3 linked regions of the Caenorhabditis elegans genome follow. The protein of the gene in region 2 purifies or fractionates together with the protein of the main gene of each other region. This does not show direct contact. Each region holds a gene or a part of one and is shown on either strand. Other genes may lie near its edges.

The links.
Region 1: the proteins of nspg-10 (region 2) and hrg-11.2 fractionate together in Caenorhabditis elegans (co-fractionation; one large-scale study listed by BioGRID). This does not show direct contact.
Region 3: the proteins of nspg-10 (region 2) and irg-7 fractionate together in Caenorhabditis elegans (co-fractionation; one large-scale study listed by BioGRID). This does not show direct contact.

Annotation. Positions count from the first base shown.
Region 1 is NC_003284.9:3,231,633-3,238,162, forward strand, and holds the start of hrg-11.2 (C-type LECtin), read right to left. Parts: upstream 3,777-6,530; 5' UTR 3,775-3,776; coding exon 3,595-3,774; intron 3,550-3,594; coding exon 3,438-3,549; intron 3,389-3,437; coding exon 2,766-3,388; intron 2,722-2,765; coding exon 2,661-2,721; intron 2,616-2,660; coding exon 2,445-2,615; intron 2,301-2,444; coding exon 2,229-2,300; intron 2,186-2,228; coding exon 1,994-2,185; intron 1,903-1,993; coding exon 1,785-1,902; intron 1,730-1,784; coding exon 1,609-1,729; intron 1,556-1,608; coding exon 1,412-1,555; intron 1,368-1,411; coding exon 1-1,367. Other genes in the region: Protein irg-7, read right to left, coding at 4,279-4,312, 4,360-4,563, 4,607-4,923, 4,968-5,051, 5,098-5,243, 5,287-5,443, 5,505-5,848, 5,896-6,082 and 3 more.
Region 2 is NC_003282.8:4,602,952-4,609,272, forward strand, and holds nspg-10 (uncharacterized protein), read left to right. Parts: upstream 1-2,834; 5' UTR 2,835-2,938; coding exon 2,939-2,963; intron 2,964-3,015; coding exon 3,016-3,115; intron 3,116-3,881; coding exon 3,882-3,980; intron 3,981-4,029; coding exon 4,030-4,187; intron 4,188-4,238; coding exon 4,239-4,435; intron 4,436-4,482; coding exon 4,483-4,570; intron 4,571-4,950; coding exon 4,951-5,016; intron 5,017-5,071; coding exon 5,072-5,139; 3' UTR 5,140-5,266; downstream 5,267-6,321. Other genes in the region: F19C7.4 (Serine protease K12H4.7), read left to right, coding at 156-368, 585-1,168, 1,395-1,503, 1,553-1,648, 1,693-1,804, 1,856-1,958, 2,016-2,362, 2,599-2,663; col-110 (Nematode cuticle collagen N-terminal domain-containing protein), read right to left, coding at 5,343-5,403, 5,519-6,095, 6,147-6,267.
Region 3 is NC_003284.9:3,239,516-3,246,080, forward strand, and holds the start of irg-7 (Protein irg-7), read right to left. Parts: upstream 4,122-6,565; 5' UTR 4,110-4,121; coding exon 3,930-4,109; intron 3,887-3,929; coding exon 3,775-3,886; intron 3,721-3,774; coding exon 3,098-3,720; intron 3,052-3,097; coding exon 2,991-3,051; intron 2,926-2,990; coding exon 2,755-2,925; intron 2,708-2,754; coding exon 2,636-2,707; intron 2,590-2,635; coding exon 2,398-2,589; intron 2,350-2,397; coding exon 2,232-2,349; intron 2,183-2,231; coding exon 2,062-2,182; intron 2,016-2,061; coding exon 1,872-2,015; intron 1,826-1,871; coding exon 1-1,825. Other genes in the region: F40F4.7 (N-terminal methionine N(alpha)-acetyltransferase NatE), read right to left, coding at 4,751-4,876, 4,919-5,006, 5,143-5,345, 5,932-6,252.

The sequences.
Region 1 (6,530 bases), on a different chromosome or scaffold from region 2:
GTCAAAAATCCGTACAAGCTAATATCCATGGCACGTGACATATCATAGAACAAGCCGAGAGAGCGCTGATCGAGCTCATATTCTGGAGTTGTTTGGAAAATTTCGATGAAAGATCCTGGAACTAAGTCTCTGGCAAAGATGGCATGATTCAAGGCATCCCAAAGTTTGACGCTACAACCATTATCTGATGGAACATTGGTTGCAAGGTTGTGCAATGCGGCAATGATAGCCGTGAGATTATTTGAAGGTGACTGAGCAATTGGTCCACCCCATGTTGAGTTGAATCCAACAAGTACAAAGTTTCTGATCCATCCGCGATCTTGCATTTGAACGTCGCGGAGAATTTCTTGGAAGTTATTGTCAAGCATGACAATTGAAGCAAGAGATTGCTGAGTAATTTCGACAGCGAACACCATGTCAACTCCGTAACGGATGAATTCAGGATTTGGTCCAGTTTCAATACATCTTGGCACCTCACAGCTTTCACCTGCGTATCCAGGCGGGCATACACACTGTCCTCCACTAACAGTTCCTCCGTTGTAGCAAACAATGTTCTGGCAGTACGTTCCAGTAAATTGTGGAGTACAGAAGCATGTCGTGTTGGTTGGATTCATAACTCCTCCGTTTTGGCATTGATGTTGTGGTGGTGGTGTTGGATGAACAGCCGAACAGAGCATTGTTCCAGCACGTTGGAGAGCCATATCATTGTTATCACGAGCGAAGAAGTTGAAGTAAAGAACTTCATCGGGGACATTACAGATGAATGGTGGGAAGTAGAAGTGGAATTCACAAGCATCTCTGTACATTCCACTTGATCCGTAAACCTCTGTTTGAACTCCGTCGCGGATAGCATAAATCTGAAGATTGGCGTGCACGCGGTCCATAGAAATGAATTCGGGGTAGTTGGAAACATGGAAAACAGGAGAAGCATCAAAACCAGCAACTGGTTGGCGGAGAACTCCGGCTGCAGAAGTGAGGGTAGTTGCGAAAGACCAGAAAATGTCATAGTCTGGATTGTATTGGCTCATTCCACCAAGGTTATACTTCTTCTGGTATACTTTGAAGGTACACGCAGAGTTTGGTGAGTCGGAAACCAAATTGAAGAACCATTGTCCAGCGAAGATTTGGTTGGAGGTCCAAATGTAGTTAACACCATCATTGAATGCAACAAAGAAGTCAGGGTGTGCTCCGGTTGGGGTTGTGACTTGAAGTTTCAAGTTAGATCCTGTAGCAACAACGACAACTTGATCAGCAGTCACGTCAACTGCAACCGATTTGTAGATGTTTTGATTAGCACAGTGAGAGTAATCTCCAGATAGAGCAAGTTGAGAGCGGAACAACGTGTTGTACATATGAACGTAGAAGAACTTAAAATATAATGCATTAATATTAAAGAATTAAAGAAACATACGTTGGAGATAGTGGTTCTGTTGTTAAAGTAGAACGTGTTTCCGCTGGACATCGCAGCCATATCGACCATATCTCTGTACCCAGCACTATCGGGTGAAGTATTGCAGCCACTTCCAATTGCTGGTTGCACGTAAATGAAGTAGACCTGAAACATTCTGGTATTTTCGAATAACTTTAAATTTAATAAATTTTCCATACTGGTGCTCTCCAATAAGATTCCAAGTGTACAATTGTTTGCTTCTCAGTGCTATCATTTGGATTGGCATCAGTGATTACATAGATTGGTGATTTGTTAGTTGGATAAAGAGAAAGAGCAGATCTGTAAAACAACCATGAAGATTCTGTAAAACATTGAAAAACTAGTCGATACTTACGCAACAGCAGAGAAAACAACATCATCACATCCACCGTCGGATGGGGCAGAGTTAATCGCTTTAAGTAGATCAACCATAGCGGCATCCCATGAGTCATATCTCTGGTTTACCAAAAGCTCTAAAAATTAAAATATAATGCATTACCGTTTCCTGATAAGAAGGTAGGCTTATGGGAGCCACCCCGGTAAATTAGTTGCAAATCAACTCACTGGCGTTATCAAAGAGCACAACGATGAAATTAGTGAGATAGCCAGGCTCGGCAGATAGTTCATCGACAATTCTTGAAACTGAATTTGTGGCCTGTTGAATAACATCTGACAATTGGCTTCTAGAACGAATGACCAGAGTAACAGTCGGGTTTTCAGCATTGAAATCAATTCCGGATGCACCAGGGCAGACAACTGTAATGCATTTGTGATCAGTTTATTTTCCGAGGCGACTTACTATTTTGACAGTGGAAACCGGTGAATCCTTCTGGACATTCACAATGTTCGCTTGTGGGAGTTGGAAGGAATCCTGAAAAATAAAATATTTGATGACCAATTTAGGCTGGCTCAAAAAAGTGTCCTTTTTAGAAGGTTGTCTTTGTGTTATCAACCATGTAGCACATCAATGGCAACATAGCGTTTTCTATTTAACAGCTCTAGTTACAGTATTCACCTCCATTAGCACACAACATCTGAGAACAGTCACGTCCGGTGTATAGTCCAAAACAGTAACAGTATGGTGAACCACTGGAATCCTTCAAAACTTGACCTCCGTTCTGGCAGGTTGTCAATGGAGCAGCGGTTGTTGTTGGAGCAGGGACAGTGGTGGTAGACACTGGTGGCACTAAATTACTCAGGTTGATTATTGTTGTCAACTACGTTCACTTACAAATACATTGGTAGGGCAGAATACGACGGAAAACGTATCCGTTATCGCTCATTCCTTCAACCTGAACTTTTATGATTGCAATTTATATCAATTCATTGCACTTACCTGTAATAAATTGTGCCCAATATCGTTATTTCCAATTTTTCTGCAAGTATACCTCTCCAAAATATATGGATAAGTACAATTGAAGCGAGTTGCCATAGGAATGTATCTTGAGATATGGTTCTCGGCGCCAGTGAATCCAATCGCCTGAATTTGACCGGGAAAGTGTAGTCCTTGTGCATGAAGAACAACAGCTGATTCAGTGTCAAAATAGGCAAACTTGAGGGTTGGATAGTCGCTGCGCTCTGGTTGATCGCCTGATGTAAAACCTCCAGTAACTTGAATATTGGTATGAGCGGTCATCATCATAGTACAAAATTCATCTCCAGAATCAGCTCTTGGTCCGAGAAGATACTGGCCTGGCGCTAAAGTCTCATATGTTGCCACATAGGAAGTTACGGTTTTTCTGTCAGTGTCAGGGAAGATCAGATCTCCACTCTCAGATTGGAGGTAGAAAGTTGGATTCAATGGTGACTCAGTTTCGACCTCAATTTTGATATTCCGCATGGTCTCATCAACAACAACGACGTATGTTTGACTGCAGTTTGCAAGATTTGTTGCATCAATAGAGATATCGTCAGAATCCTTGTTATCAGGAATGTAAGGATTGCGAGCAGAGCACAATGCTAAGAAATTGCATTTTTAGTTTAAAAACACATATGTGATCCGACTTACGATATTGACAGGTGGCTCCTGTGTATCCTGGCTTGTTACATCCTCTGGTGGCCATTCCAGCAAAAACATGAGGCTCGGCGATAGATCTTTTGGAGATATGATGAGTATCAACCTGAAACCATATATGGAACATAGTTAAACGAAATCTAGAACTTACAAAGAGATCGGACTGCTCATCGAATTGAATCTTCTGTTCACTGACTGGGTGGAAGAGTTGATTACTGTTGGCCGGGTTCCATGACTTTAAGACTTTGCGGATTCTCTCTTTGTGACTGAGCTCAGGCTCAGCGCCCAGGCAGATCACGGCTAACGCCGCAATCAAAACCCAGCTTCTCATTACTGAAATTTCACATTAATTTAATTGCTCTTAAACTCCAAAAAAACTAAATATCGTAAAAGGTATTGAGTTCTGAAAATGAATGTGAAAAGGCAGGAGCAGCCTGGCAAATCTAATGAAATTATCATGAAATAATGATTTAAACCCTTTTTAATCGCAAAAGGAGAGTGTGTCCGGCACGTCATATCACCGTGGCAAACTCTTATCTTTGCCATCTCAAACAGTATTAAAATTTATTCCACGCCCTTTGCATTCTAATTGAGTAGTAGCAGAATAATGTCACAGAATACGATTTTGTATCATCAAATTATTATCAAGCACTTTCTGATGATTTCGACTTGAAGTTCAACCACTAGTAAAGTTTATTGAATTGCCATCACATTTCACTTTTGTATTATATTTTTTCTCTCGTAATTTTGATTTTTCGGTCCAACACATAAATTGTTAAATAATGATAAGTTTATTAAAATTCAAATTATTTCAGTGATTTCCGGGTCGACTGCCTTAGTTGTTGATACAGTAGACACCTCCATTGGCGCTGAAAATAAGAACATTTCACTTAATGAACACACTTATATATCTTACTTGGCATTGAGGATAAGTTGCTGAATGGTCTTAATTTGGTTATTCAAACTAGCAAAATCTGGAGCTGTAAACGAGCAAGCACTTCCTCCGGAAATAGTTTGCAACTTGTTGTTATCAGTCGCGCCACCATAACCAATAGTGATGATTCCGTATTGCTTCTGCGCGAGAATTGTCTGAGCTGCCGGAGTTGGATCGGTGTCGAAGCTAAAAAATATTAATTTTATCTGGCAATCTTTTGAACACTTACGCAGTAGTTGTAGTAAGGTAGATCAACACATGGTTGCTAATGCCACTACGGTAACCATTGTTCGCCGCCATGAAATCGGGAGAAGACACAATTTGAAGAGTGTAGTTAAGAATTTGCCCGGCGTCTTCAAAGTCAGTGTAGCCACCGCTGAGTTGGGCCAAGTTAGAGTTCAACATTGCTTGAGAGGAGAGGGAGTTCAGATTGGCAGCAGGAGGAATTGGGTTTGTGATATCACCTCCGACGACAATTAATCCAACACGAGCTCCACTCTGGCCAACATTGAACGAAACCATGAATGTTTGAACAAATTTGGTGAGCTGAAATTCATATGATGGAAACATAAAGGGCATATAATGTATACCGAGTCAAAGCTGGATTGTGCACTTTGTGATCCATCGATCATAAATACAACATCAAACTGAGCGGATGTGTATGGATTTTGGGTCTGTAAGTTCAGAATTTCTAAATCACCAGTAATACTTGAAATTTACCGTGGCGACTGGTCCCTGAGTTGGTTGAGTTCCTGGGACTTGAGTTTGCTGAGTTACTGGACCTTGAGTCAGCGCGGTTTGTTGAGTTGGCATGGTGATTGGGCCAATTGTTCCTGTTGCTGGCTGGTTGGTTGTTGGGCTACGTCCTGAAAAATTTCTTGCACAATTAAACAAGTAAGCGTATATTACCATTGCAGATGACAATTTCTTGTCTTCTGAACTTTTGGTTTGCTTCATCAACTCCATGAACATAGACGGCAATCATGTCGCCGTTGCAAGTGAACAAATCAGAGTAGTACTCGTAAGAGCAGCCTGCTCGAACGTAGAGCTCTGATCGGAGAATGTTCTGAAATTTTATCACTTCTGAGTTTATTCTCTTGTGAAGGGACAATTTTAATGTTGCTTACTGTGATTGAGTTAGCTCCAATATCGAAGATTTCTACATACTGCAATTGTCCTCTGTGGAATGGATTGCCAGCAAGATGGAAAACAGCGACATTGTCAAAACCAGCTGTTGGTTGTACGAAACGTCCATCCTGATGTGAACCAAGTGGATCAGGCTTTCCTCCGATTGGGTTTGGCATCGAGAACTTTGTGTAGACCTTCGCTCCACCAGTTGAATAGACATGTGCAAGGCACAATCCTGGAGGCTGAACAAGTTGGAGTGTCCAGATTCCTCCAAGTCTGTCTACTTCAATTGCGTAGATCTTTTGATCATTCACGTTGTAAACTGGGGTAGCACTGTGAGCCGCTGAAACAAGTCGAGGTGTTGATAATATTTAAAAAAAAACGACTAACCTCCAAGAGGATCCTTGACAGAAAGTGAACCAAACTCGGCAGAAGTGGTGACGTAGATAAATGTTGTGTTGATATCAACTGGCACAAACCAAGGAAGAGATCCATCGGAACAGGTGTAGTTCGTGATGCCGGTAGGATCTTGAAGAACTGAAGCTCCGTACAGAGTTGGAAGATAAGAATTGAAAAGCTGTAAAATTGATATATTGTGCTAACTAGTTGATAAACAATGCTACACTCACGTTGACAATGTTTGCAGGATCAGTGAACAAGATGTTTCCGCTTGATCCGTATCCAAGCCATGTCATGTCTCTGACATTATTGACACCATCGAATGTTGCACAGTTTGCGGTCTTGGAGACGACATAGTGCAACTGAAAATTCGAACATGTATGATTCATCGAGTTAGCTGTTACTTACGTGTGCTTGAGTGTTAAACAAAACTTCCATAGTTTCAACATAGTTTCCGAGGTCACTTGGTCCAGCAGGAGTGACCAAGAAAATTTCACTATTCGGCATAGCAATAACATCATCATGTTCCAGAAGATGCGCAAGAACTCTGAACGTTAAAACCATACAAAAAATTAGTGAAAAACTAGATTACCCGAGATATGGCATACTGCAAACTCCATCAGTAG
Region 2 (6,321 bases):
TTTTGAACTGTCTTGAACGTTGTTTCTAAAAATTGGAGCTTTTTTGAGTATAAAAGTTATGTGTTAAACGGCTATAAAAAATTCGTCCACTACGTTGTCCCATAGTTGTCTTTTGACATACAATACCGTTAAAAAATTTCCAATTATTTTCCAGAATGTCTCGGGTCTTATGCCTCGTAGCTATCTCAATTGGGCTCACAATATGCCACGTTTCACCTCCAATGGTCGTTGGAAGGCCTCGAGAAGGTCTATTGACGGGTGATCCCGCAGAAGGACCTACTACAGATGCAAAATATATGATTTACTCGAATATTACACAGAAAGTCGACCATTTCTCAAATGGAACAAATATTGGAGTTTGGCAACAGGTGAGTCCCCCTAGGTGTATGTGAAGCGTGACTTAGAAATATTAAAGCCCCTTTGCGTACTTGAACGAATTTGTTGACTCATCAAATGTATGATTTTTGTTCTGTTATCACTTTTAATCGGACAAAAATTAATAAGAATTTACAAAAACGTTCGGTGGAAAATACCGAAAAAAATCCCAAAGAGGCGTGTCTTGTGTCAAAAAAAAACCTCTTCAGCACTACCAATACAATTGGAAATTTTACAACAAAACAACTGGATACGTCTTCCTGATGATTGGTGGTGAAAGTTCCATCAATAAAACTAATGGAGATAGATGGATCCGTCATGAAGGAGAAACCATGATGAAATGGGTGGCAGAGTTCCAAGCCGCCGCTTTTCAAGTCGAGCACAGATTTTACGGATCTAAAGAATATTCCCCAATTGGAGATCAGACAACAGCGAGCATGAAGCTTTTGACAATTGATCAGGCACTTGCTGATATTAAAGAGTTTATTACTCAAATAAATGCACTTTATTTCAAAGATGACAAACCAATTTGGGTGACATTCGGAGGATCATATCCTGGATCATTGTCTGCTTTCTTTAGAGAAACATATCCAGAAATGACTGCAGGAGCAGTATCATCTTCTTCTGCTGTTCATGTATTTGTAGATTATTATGGATATGCTATTAATACTGAAAAGACTTATAGAACTGTTAGTGACTCCTGTGGAGATGTTATCAAGGTTGCATTCCAAAAGCTTATCACTAAAGCATATAATGGATCGGATAGCCGTGCACTTCTTAAACAACAATTCAAGTGGGTTTCATAAATAAAATATGTACCTAGTTTTTGAGAAAAAATGATTTTAATTTTAATATCATTGAAATCTCTCAAAAATTTGAGATTCTTAGCTTTTGTCAGTTTTGGCAGGATTTAGTTTCTTCCAGAATTATTTTTTTCACAAAAAGGACATACCTTTTTGGGAAGTTCTGAAAATACTATCACGAGCTTAACCAATATGTCCTAAATCCAATTTTTCCAGTCTTTGTGACAGCTTCGACGAGACGAATCTATCAAAAGCCGTGCAATTTTTTTTCCAAAATGTCTATGGATACTTTCAGATAATCAATCAATATACCGGAGATAATAAGGTTCATTATGAACATCTCTTCATTACTTCAAAAAACAACACAATTTTAGAGCAATGCTACACGATCCGGATTGGGAGTTCCTGCAGCTTGTGATCTTCTAAACAACGCGACAATTGGAGATGAGGTCCAGAGAGTTATTGCTGTAGTAGGTGTACCTCTACTAGTAGTGCACCTAATTTTAACTTCCAGATGAATCTTTATGATTCCTGGTTTAAGCCATCAGCGTCTGGATGCCGACCAAATAATTACACAGCTTTTATTCAAGCCTATTCGGACACTACAATGCCCAATGAGAACGTCAGTGAGTTTCCGAGTATTGTAAAGGTACTGTAGAATCGAATTGAAATTCCAGTTGGCACTCGCAGTTGGATCTGGCAGACTTGCACGGAGCTCGGATATTATCAGACTACTGACGGAGGAAATGGTGGAATCTTTGGATCTACAGTTCCACTTGAGTAAGAACAAACAAAACGTTAAAGCCAGGTAGTACTGTATTTTGAAAATATTTTCAGTTTCTTCGCCGATCAATGCATTGATCTCTTTGGGCCGGAATACACCCTGGATAATACTTTCAAACTCGTAGATCAAGTTCGTACTAAATACGGAGGAGCTGGCACATATCGTGGAACCAATGTCGTTTTTCCAAACGGATCCTTCGATCCTTGGAATGGTCTTGGCTACAAATGGAATAACACGAATAATAATGTTGATGCTTGGTTGATCGAAGGAACATCTCATTGTGCTGATATGTATCCAGCAAGCGATTCGGATAAACAATCATTGAAAGATGCGAGAATCCGGATTCATGGTCATTTATCCAGGTGGCTATCAGATGCACAGGCTATTAGGCAGCATTCAGGTAGGTTCATTTAAGAATGCCTCTTATTCAAATGGGTCTTGCCACGAAAAAATTGTATGTTAATAAGAATTATTCAGTTAAGAAAACATTAATCAAGTTTTTTTATTGATAAAATCACAGAAATTCCCACTTTTTCCTCGCGGCAATACCTTTTTTTCAATAAATACGTGGGCCTTTAAGTACGCAGATAACTGCAAACTCAAGATACTACACTTTCAATATTTATAGTTTTTCAGGTTCCACTACAAACTTCTCAATCTTCACCGCCATCTCCATTGTAATTTTCAGCATCCTATTCTAACTTTCAAAATATTATTTTTCAAATTTTATTCTAGAAATAATAAAAGTCCAATTTTGATTACATTTGCAAAATGACGTTGTGTGAACACACCCTGAAATTGCGTTTTCACCTCGCTAATAAGATGAAAGTGGTTGGAAGGGAGGAGTGCCTAATAAAATGAGTTGGATAGTGATAGGGAGCAGGCAAATATTCGCCGACGACGGTTTGCCGTCGTTATCAATCCCCGAGACGACTTTTTCAATTTGCCAGCCCTGCGTCACCATCACCTTTTCGGCATGAAGTTTGCCATCGTTTTTGCTGGTACGTAGATTTTATCGAACAAAGGTTTAAAAATAACTTTGGAGATTTTCAGCTCTTTACGGAGCCGCTGTTGCTCAATTCGGAACTGACAACTGTGTGAGCGCACAGTTTCAGGCTTGTAATAGCAAGTTAGGAGATTTTTGGAGAACTGAGTAAGTTTTACAAACGAAATTGTGACTAATTTTTTGAAAATCATGTGGTGTCAGAGTGTCTCATTTCACCTTGATCTACGTAGATCTACAAAACATGCGGGAGAAGAGACGCAAAGTTCTCAACTTATTTCGCATGGTTGAGAACGTGCTGAGGTCGCATTTTTTGTGCAAAAAATTCCCGTTTTTTTGTAGATCAAACCGTAATGGGACAGCTTGGCACTGCGAAAAAATTGCCGGGTGGAGTCGGTGAACACATATTTTTGAAAAGTATGCAAACACCGCCGCACAATTAAAACAAAATTTACATTTTAAAGTATAATTGATAATTTAAAAATTGTATTTCTATAGAAAATTGAAATTACCATAGACCGACATTTTAAGCTTTTCTACTTACTTTTTCAAATTTTTCACACATTTTTGCATTTAACTCTATGAACAATTTTTTGCTCTTATATACATAGTTATATACATAATAATTTGATCTTAATGTTAATTTTCTCAATCTTATGATGATATTAATATTCAAATTCCAATTGAGTAAAACTTCCACATATAAAATTTGCAAATCTAATGCGATTATGTTCTGATAAGGTCAGTAGCAACAGAACACACCTAGTATAGATATCAATACCTATAATGTGATCCGAGTAGTTCTAGAAGTAGATAAACACTATTATTTTCAGTCTACAAGTATTGATTTTAAAACTAGATACCTGAAATTGACCTTTAAATTGTTTTCACCCCGTCATTCAGAACATATTTTCAGCACCACCTCTGCCTGGAAGGACTTGGCGAGCTTGGACAGAATCACCCAGTCTCTCATCGTCTCCCCATATGTCATTGACTCATGGGTCAATGTTTGCAAGTAAGCCTTTCTTTTTAAAATCTTTAACTTTTCAATTCCGAAATTCCAGCGGTTACGCTGCCTTTTACGGATGCCTTGGACAAGCTCAAATCCGCAATTGCCTCGGAACCGTCGGACTCGTCGGATCTGGACTCGATCTTAACACCGCCTACGCTTACCAAGGATTCTTGGCCGACTGGGATTTCAAGTGTGGAGCCGGATTCTGGAGTAAGCGCCATTGATCTTTTAGCAGATTTTCAAATTTCGAACATTCTTCAGCTATGTACGAGCGTAAGACCCTGACCACTTGCGTCGAGAGCACCTACGTCAACTACCAACAAGAGACATCTGCCGCTATGAATACCTACATGACTGCCACCGCTCAAGACCCAAATGGTGCTTGCAAGTATGCTCAGAATCTCATGAACGCGTGGCAGAACACCTACACCAAGGGACCATGCCGTACAGTTATGCCAGTAAGTCTTAGCAATTGCTGAGCTAGAGAGAAAAAAGCTTTGTTCAGGCTCAAGCCGGATGGTTCGGATGCCAATCGGCTCGTGAATGGTCTAATGCTCAATTCAGACACTGCAAGCATACTACACAATGTGCATGTAAGTTTGAAAAAGTTTGCCTGCCCCAAGGCGACCTAGGATGGTCTGCAAGAGGGCCTAGACCTATCAGCATTGCTACTGATTGTGAGACTTGCATGCAATTGTATTCCTATTCACAAGGTTTCCTACAAGGTCACCTATGTCTGCCTACATGATTGCCTCTTGTTTTCTACAAGAATACCTAGGTTTGCCTAAGTTTACCTAGACAAACCTACAAGGTAATCTAGGCCTATCAACACGGTGACCTAGACCAGCCTACAATTTCACCTAGGTCTACCTACAAAGTTACCTCGGCATACTTACAAAGTTGCCTAAGCACGAGGCGGCCAAGTAGGCAAAATTAAACACCTACCTACCATACAAAACTTCAATATTTCCAGCTCCAACTTCCAACGAGGCTGTGACCAGATTCAACACTGAAACCGGAAAGGTTGAATATGAGACTCGTGAGTTTTATTTTTATTTTTCAGTTTTTTTTATCCCAAGTTCCAAAATTTCTAGTCCCTACCTACCAAATCGTCGACAATAAGGCCGTCGTCCTGAATGAGGCCTCCTGGATTTCCGAGTAATTTTGATTTTTTAATTTTTGAAATAATTATAATTTTCTTTCATTCCTTTTACCTGTCTATCATGAACTTTTTTGGGTTGAATCACACATACACAATCAGTCTGATAAAGTAAACCAATAACTATTTATTGCACTTCACGTTTCACTAAAAAGCACCTTTCAAAGCAAATAAGAGAGACCGACAGAGAAATTGAGAAAAATCAGTTAAGTTCTGCGGCGGCGGGATCCGCTGTCAAAGAAGACTCCTCCGTCGATGGCACAGTACCTGGAATTTTTCGTGTAAATTTATCATTTCTGCAGGCCTAGGTAATCATGCAGGCATTCCTAGGTAACCTTGAAATCAGGTCAAGGTAATCATGTAGGCCGGCCTACCAACTTACTTTGGGCAGATCCCCTCCTCTCCCGGTCTTCCTTGAATTCCAGCTTCTCCGAGATCTCCATCATTTCCATTTTCTCCATCCACTCCATCTTTTCCTGGTGGTCCCGGTGGTCCAACTTGTCCTGGTTTACCATCTCTTCCATCATTTCCAGGTTGTCCGGCTTCTCCTGATTGTCCCTCATCTCCATCATCCCCAGGTGGTCCAACATCGGAAGTATCAACCTCCCCAGGTTCTCCATCAGCTCCGTCTTCTCCCTTTGTCCCTGGAACTCCGTCGATTCCAGTTTTTCCAGGCCTTCCCGGACGTCCATCCAGCCCATCGAATCCACGTCGCCCCTTCAATCCAGGCAATCCATTGTTACCTGGTGACCCACGGGGTCCCGGCTCTCCCGGCTCTCCAGCTGGACAGTCACATGGGCTTGCAAGTGTTGGATCACATGGACCTCTCGGTGGCTCTCCAGGATTTCCTGGTCTTCCAGGTGCTCCAGGAGCTCCGTGGCGTCCATGTCTTCCTGGGGTTCCGCTGGGGCCTGGAGCTCCAGGAATACAACAGCCATCACAGGTTCCTGTGGTTTCATCTGAACAGTTTGAGAGTTTTTAAAAAGTACAGATTCGGGGAAAAAGTAAACCTTCATCAAATCGTCTCCTGGGTTTTGCTCCTCGGATGCTTCTGGTGTGGTTCGAGGTGGCAATCAGTACGGATAGCTCGTCAACACCTTCGTAGATTGTTCTCACAACATCGTTGCATTCCTGAGATGAGAGTTTTAAGTATAGGACCCACACAACCTTTAGGGGCCTCGAGGC
Region 3 (6,565 bases), on a different chromosome or scaffold from region 2:
GTGGCATCGGAAGAATGTTTTCTACAGTTGCCATAAACTTGATACAGTATTGTCCAATTGGCTCCCAGCCTTCGTCACAAGCCTTTCTGATTTCGTACACGCTTTGACCGGTAAAGTCATCGTAGAAAAGTTCCAAAGCTTCTGCCATAACACCAGCACCAGTATACACTTGGATAGTTGTTCCATAACCAAATGTTTGGATTTGAATTGTTTGAGTGTATGCGTCAACAGGGAAGTATGTAATAAGTCCATCGTCGTGTCTACAATCATCCAATGCGTTGAATGTGACTTGTCCGTTAGAGAACTGAAGTGGAATGAGTCTGACAGCATTAGAAATTTCATTTGCTTGCAGGCTATAAGTAGTTCCGGTAGATCCACTGACAATTCCGAGAAGAGTATAATAGTTTTCGACGGTGGCGTTGCAAACAAATCCTTCCGGTTGTAAACGTGGATTTGAAGTCAAGAAACCGTAAAGAACCAGTTCCATTGTTCTAGACATATCATAGAAAAGACCAAGCGAACGAGTATCAGTATCATCTTCTGGAGTGGTTTGGAAGATTTCTACAAAAGATCCCGGTGCCATTTGTCTGGAGAAAATGGCATAATTCAAAGCATCCCAAAGTTTGACAGTACATCCAGTATCGGCTGGAACTGAAGAAGCAAGAGTGCGAAGAGCAGTGGTGATTGCAGTGAGGTTATCAGCTGGTGATTCAGCAATTGGTCCTCCCCATGTAGAGTTGAAACCGACCAGAACAAAGTTTCTAATCCATCCACGATTTTGCATGAGAACGTCGCGGAGAATTTCTTGGAAGTTGATATTGAGCATGGAAAGTGAAGCAATAGAATTCTGAGTGATTTCAACGGCAAACACCATGTCAACTCCATAACGGATGAATTCAGGATTTGGTCCTGTTTCAATACATCTTGCCATCTCACAGCTCTCACCAGCGTAACCAGGTGGGCAGACGCAATGATCTCCGCTAGCTGTTCCTCCATTGTAACAAATAATGTTCTGACAGTACGTTCCTGTGAACTCCGGAGTACAGAAGCAAGTGGTGTTCGATGGGTTCATTACTCCTCCATTTTGGCATTGATGATCTGGTGGCGGGGTAGGATGAACGGCAGCACAGAACATAGTTCCGGCACGTTGAAGAGCCATGTCATTATTATCACGAGCAAAGAAATTGAAGTAAAGAACTTCTTCTGGAACACGGCAAGTGAATGGTGGGAAGTAGAAGTTGAATTCACAGGCATCTCTGTACATTCCACTTGATCCGTAAACCTCGGTTTGAACTCCGTCACGAATAGCATAAATCTGAAGATTGGCATGCACACGGTCCATTGAGAGGAACTGAGGGTAGTTGGTAACATGGAAAACTGGAGATGAATCAAATCCAAGAACTGGCTGACGTAGAACTCCTGCTGCCGAAGTAAGAGTAGAAGCGAATGACCAGAAAATATCATAGTCGGGGCTGTATTGAGTTTGTCCGCCAAAGTTGAACTTCTTCTGATAAACCTTAAACGTGCAAGCTGCTTCTGGTTCAAGTGATCTGATAGAGAAGAACCATTGACCAGCAACTGGCGAGTTATACGTCCAAACATAGTTCACACCATCAGAAAAGGCGGTGTTGAAAGTTGGATACTGTCCTGTTGGGCTTGTCACAACTAGAGTCAAATTTGTTCCAGTGGCTACAATTGTAACGTAGTCAACGCTAAGATCAAAGGCAGCTGACTTGTACAGATTCTGGCTGGAGCAGTGTGAGTAATCTCCGGAAAGAACAAGTTGGGATCGGAACAAGGTGTTAAGCATGTGTCGGTAGAAGAACTATAAAAGTTAATTGATATGGGAGATATAAAGTGAAGTGACTTACGGTCGAAATAGTGCTTCTGTCGCTGAAATAGAAAGTGTTACCACTTGAACGAGCAGCCATGTCCACCATATCTCTATATGCAGAGTTATCTGGAGATGAGTTACATCCATCGGCTGGAGATGGTTGAACGTAAATGAAGTAGATCTGAAATTTAAATAGAGTCAACATTATTTGCTTTCATGTTATTTACCGGTGCTCTCCAATAAGATTCCAGATGGAACACAGTTTCCTTCTCAGCACTATCATTTGGAGTGGCGTCCGTAATCACATAGATCGGGGATTTGTTTGTTGGATAGAGAGAAAGTGCAGATCTGTAATGAATTAGCATTTTTAAACATTATTACATACCAGTGAACTTACGCAACAGCAGACATGACAACATCATCACATCCTCCTTCGCTTGGAGCGGAATGGATAGCTTTTGTAAGATCGACCATTGCAGCGTCCCATGAATCATATTGTCTGTTCACCAAGAGCTCTGAAATAATACACTTTCATGTCAAATATGTTTTAGATCAAAACTCACTTCCGTTATCAAAAAGAACAACAATGAACTTTGATAGATATCCAGGTTCACTAGCGAGAAGATCAACAATACTTTGAACAGACTCAGTTGCTTGTTCAATAACTGCAGAGAGCTGGCTTCTTGATCGGATGACAAGGGTGAGAGTTGGGTTTTCAGCGTTGAAGTCAAAGCCTGACATGTCGGTACACAAGACTGCAAAGTTATTATGTTTTAACAGATAATTTTTACTAGTGCATACTATTCTGGCAATGGAAGCCACTGAATCCTTCTGGGCATTGACAACGGTCACTGGTTGGAGTCGGCAAGAAACCTTAATAGTTATTATAAAAAATATATAATTTCAAGGATGAATTGTACCTCCGTTAGCACAGAGCATTTGCGAGCAAGTACTTCCAGAGTAAAGTCCAAAGCAATAACAATATGCAACTCCATTAGAGTCAGTAAGCAACTGCCCTCCGTTTTGACAAGAAGTTATCGGTGCTGCAGGTGTTGTCGGGACAGCGGGGGTAGTAGTTGTTACTGGTGGTACTGAAAAGGTACTTTTTCTTAAAAGTCTTATATAAACTTCTTATATACACTACAAAGAAACTCACAGACGCATTGGTAAGGAACAATACGACGGAACTTGTAGCCAGAGTTAGTCACACCCTCCACCTGAAAACAAAAATTTGAATGTTTAGCACCTTTGGTTCAATCGAACTTGAATGAGATTGTGTCCAGCATCGTTATTGCTGGTTTTTCTGCAAGTGTATCTCTCCAAGATGTATGGATAAGTACAGTTGAAACGGGTTGTCATTGGAATGTATCTTGAGATGTGGTTCTCGGCACCGGTAAATCCAATTGCTTGGATTTGACCAGGAAAGTCCAAACCTTGAGCATGAATTGCAACAACCGACTCAGTATCGAAATATGTAAACTTGAGATTTGGATAGTCACTACGCTCGGCTTGATCTCCTGAAGTGAATCCACCGGAAACATGAATGCTACTGCGGGATGACATCATCATTGTACAAAACTGCTCGCTGGTGTCGGCTCGTGGTCCAAGCATATATTGTCCGGGAGGCAGATGCAAATAATTTGCAGTGAACATTGTTGGAAGTTGAATGGATTCGTCTGGGAATATGAGATCTCCATTTTCAGCTTGAAGATAGAATGTTGGGTTCAATGCTGACGCCGTCTCGACTTCAATTTTGATATTCCGCATCGTCTCGTCAACGACGACGATGTATGATTCAGAGCAATTAGCCAGATTGTAAGCATCAATTGCAATGTCATCAAATCCGTCGTTGTTCGGAATGTACGGGTTGCGAGCAGAACAGAGGGCTGAAAAATTTCTGCGTCATGGAACATTTTAGAAATATAAATCTTAAAACTCACGATATTGGCAAGTTTCACCGGTGTACCCTGGCTTGTTGCATCCTCGAGTAGCCATTCCAGCCAAAACGTGTGGTTCAGCAATGGATCTTTTGGAAATATGATGGGTGTCCAACTGAAATTAAAAATTCGAATCGCACCTGTTTGCTAGACCTTACAAAAATAACCCTTTCTTCCATAGTCCTGTACTTTTGCTCTCTGACTGGCTCGAAAAACTGCTTCTGCGATGCCGGACTCCATGATCTCAAAACCGCGCGTATTCTGTCCTTGTGACTGAGCTCCTGCTCAGTCGCCAGGCAGATCACGGCCAGGGCCGCAATCAAAACCCAGTTCCTCATTTCTAAATAAAAAATATTAGTTTTTTTGGAAGCAAACTTGAAGGGGTATTATCAACAGCTTAAAATGAAAAAGAAGCACTGGAGTAATGCGACTAAAAGTACTATCAAGAAAACCTTATAGCAATCAAAGTCGTTAAATAAGAAAATGGGTTGGGCACGCTCGTAACATCGTGGCAACTTCTTATCTTTCAATGCTATGCATAAGGGCATAATAAAATTTTCCCCCGGGCTCTCCTGATTTTTCATGTTCTTGTTAACAATAAAACGCCTTACATTTTTATGAGTCAAAATTCAAAACATAAAATTTGCTCGGACAATAAAAGAACCTCGACATTTAGAATTCACAATCGAATTACCAGAGTTACCAAAAAACAAAAAGTCAATAGAATTGAAAATGATGATACATGAAATAAAGCATAGAAAAAATGGGAAATCTCAAACAGACATGGTTTTCATACGGGTAGGCACGGTTATGCTTGAAGATGGGAAAGAAGACAAAACAACCATGCTGGCAATTGTCAATGGCTAGAGATCCAACTTGCAGACCAGGCTTGGATGCCACCAGTCGCTATGATAAAAATAAAGTAATTTTGAAAAGGGAAACAGTTCAGATATTGTATATCAAAATGAGCTATTCTAGTTTAGTGGCGGATTCGTTTGATGAGCAAGTAAGCGTCTCTTGGGCTAATACGATAGTAGTCCTCGATAATTCCGTCATTGGTGAAGCCATGCTTCTCATAGAATTGCACCGCATTTTTGTTGTTGACCTGGAAAATTACTTTTTTTCAGATCCACTTTTTTCTGGATACCTGCACATGTAAGTACATGGTCTTAATTTCTTCCATCTTATTGCACAATTTTAATGCGTAGTCGATGAGAATTGTACCAATACCGATTCTGAAATAGCACATTTTATTACCTCGTAAAACGCCCTTGGTATAATAATTAACGCTATTAAAACCGTCATTTTCAGGTAGAACTGTACCAAAAAAACGTCATTGATAAGGTAAATTTGATCTGACTCAAAACTCACTGTCGGTAGGCGGCAAGGGTTCCAAGTGTCATGAGATACAACGACTTCTCGTCTGAAATATCGTCAATGCGACAGCACACGGCGCCCACGACGACATCGTTGTAGTAGGCAAGACGTCCAAGTTCTCCGCAATATCGAGCTTCCACATAGAACTTGTCGTTGTAGGCAATTGGGAAGACATCTTCATTGAGCTTTTTCAGTTGCTGAAATTATAGTAAATTGAAAAATCGAGTTTCGAGTTTTATGAAGTTCGTGTATTTTTTGTTGAGGTTTGAAAAACAAATAGGATTTCAGAAATCGCGTTTTACTGATGAAAATGGGAAGGCTAAATTAAATTTAAAAGGTGGAGGTTAAAATCATCTGTTTGGTTCAAGAGTGAGTGAAGACCTTCAGCAAACTTTGAGTGTGCTTCAGCAAACTTTGAGTTCAACTACTTGTCTGACATGCTCGGTAGGCTACAACGTATTTTAACAGCTCATTCTATGCCAATTTACACAATTTTCACAGGTACAGAATACAGGGCAATGTTGAAAGCTTCAAAAATGAACAGCAAAGTCGGCCTAGGTTTGCTTTTTTAGCCATTCACAGAATATATATAAATCGGAACAGAATTTTATTGAGTGGGCTCACATTCACTGCGTGCAAGAGTAATATTCAATTTTTTAAGACGCAAAAATTAAGGCTACATCATATTCACATTGATCGAGAAAATATGGGTTTCATTTAATATTATGAATTCTAGTTCGTTTCATAACATACATTTCCTTCAACAAATTAATAAATTCTCACCAAAATGTTGTGCGGCGTAATTTCTCCCAAATGAACTGTCCCATGACCGGCAATTGTTTTCAGTGCTTTTCCATTCACGTCAAATTTATTAATCAATGGCACCAGTTGATCAACTTGATCCTGCTTCTCTGGCTCAACTGAATCGGAAACTTTTTCGGGTGTGCTCACTGCTTCGGTATTTTCTGCATCGCTTTTTGTTGGGCTATTCTTTTCATCGTTACTCTCGGATGCTCTTTTCTGCTGCTGTTGCTTCTTGGCTCTTTTCTTGGCACTTTTACTCATCGTGTGGTCTGACTCGTTGTTGGTCTGCTGATCGTTCATTTTGCGGTGGCTGAAAAAAAAGTTTTGACGTTTGAAGAATAATATAGAAAAAACTGAAGGAATTGAAGAAGAGACAAGAAATCACTTACATGACACCGAAATAAATAAGAGGCTAGCAGAAACAGAAAGAACAATGAGCATTGGTTAGTAAAACACGGAGGATAACCGCGCGCAAATTGTGTTTATTCAAAACAATCGCCCTCTGTTTAGCGTTGCGGAGCGTCGTTTGTACATACGAAACTAATGTGACTAGCCGGGAAAGAGAGGAGACGAGAAGAGAACACATGTGTTAAGAGGCAGGTGACGACGGCCA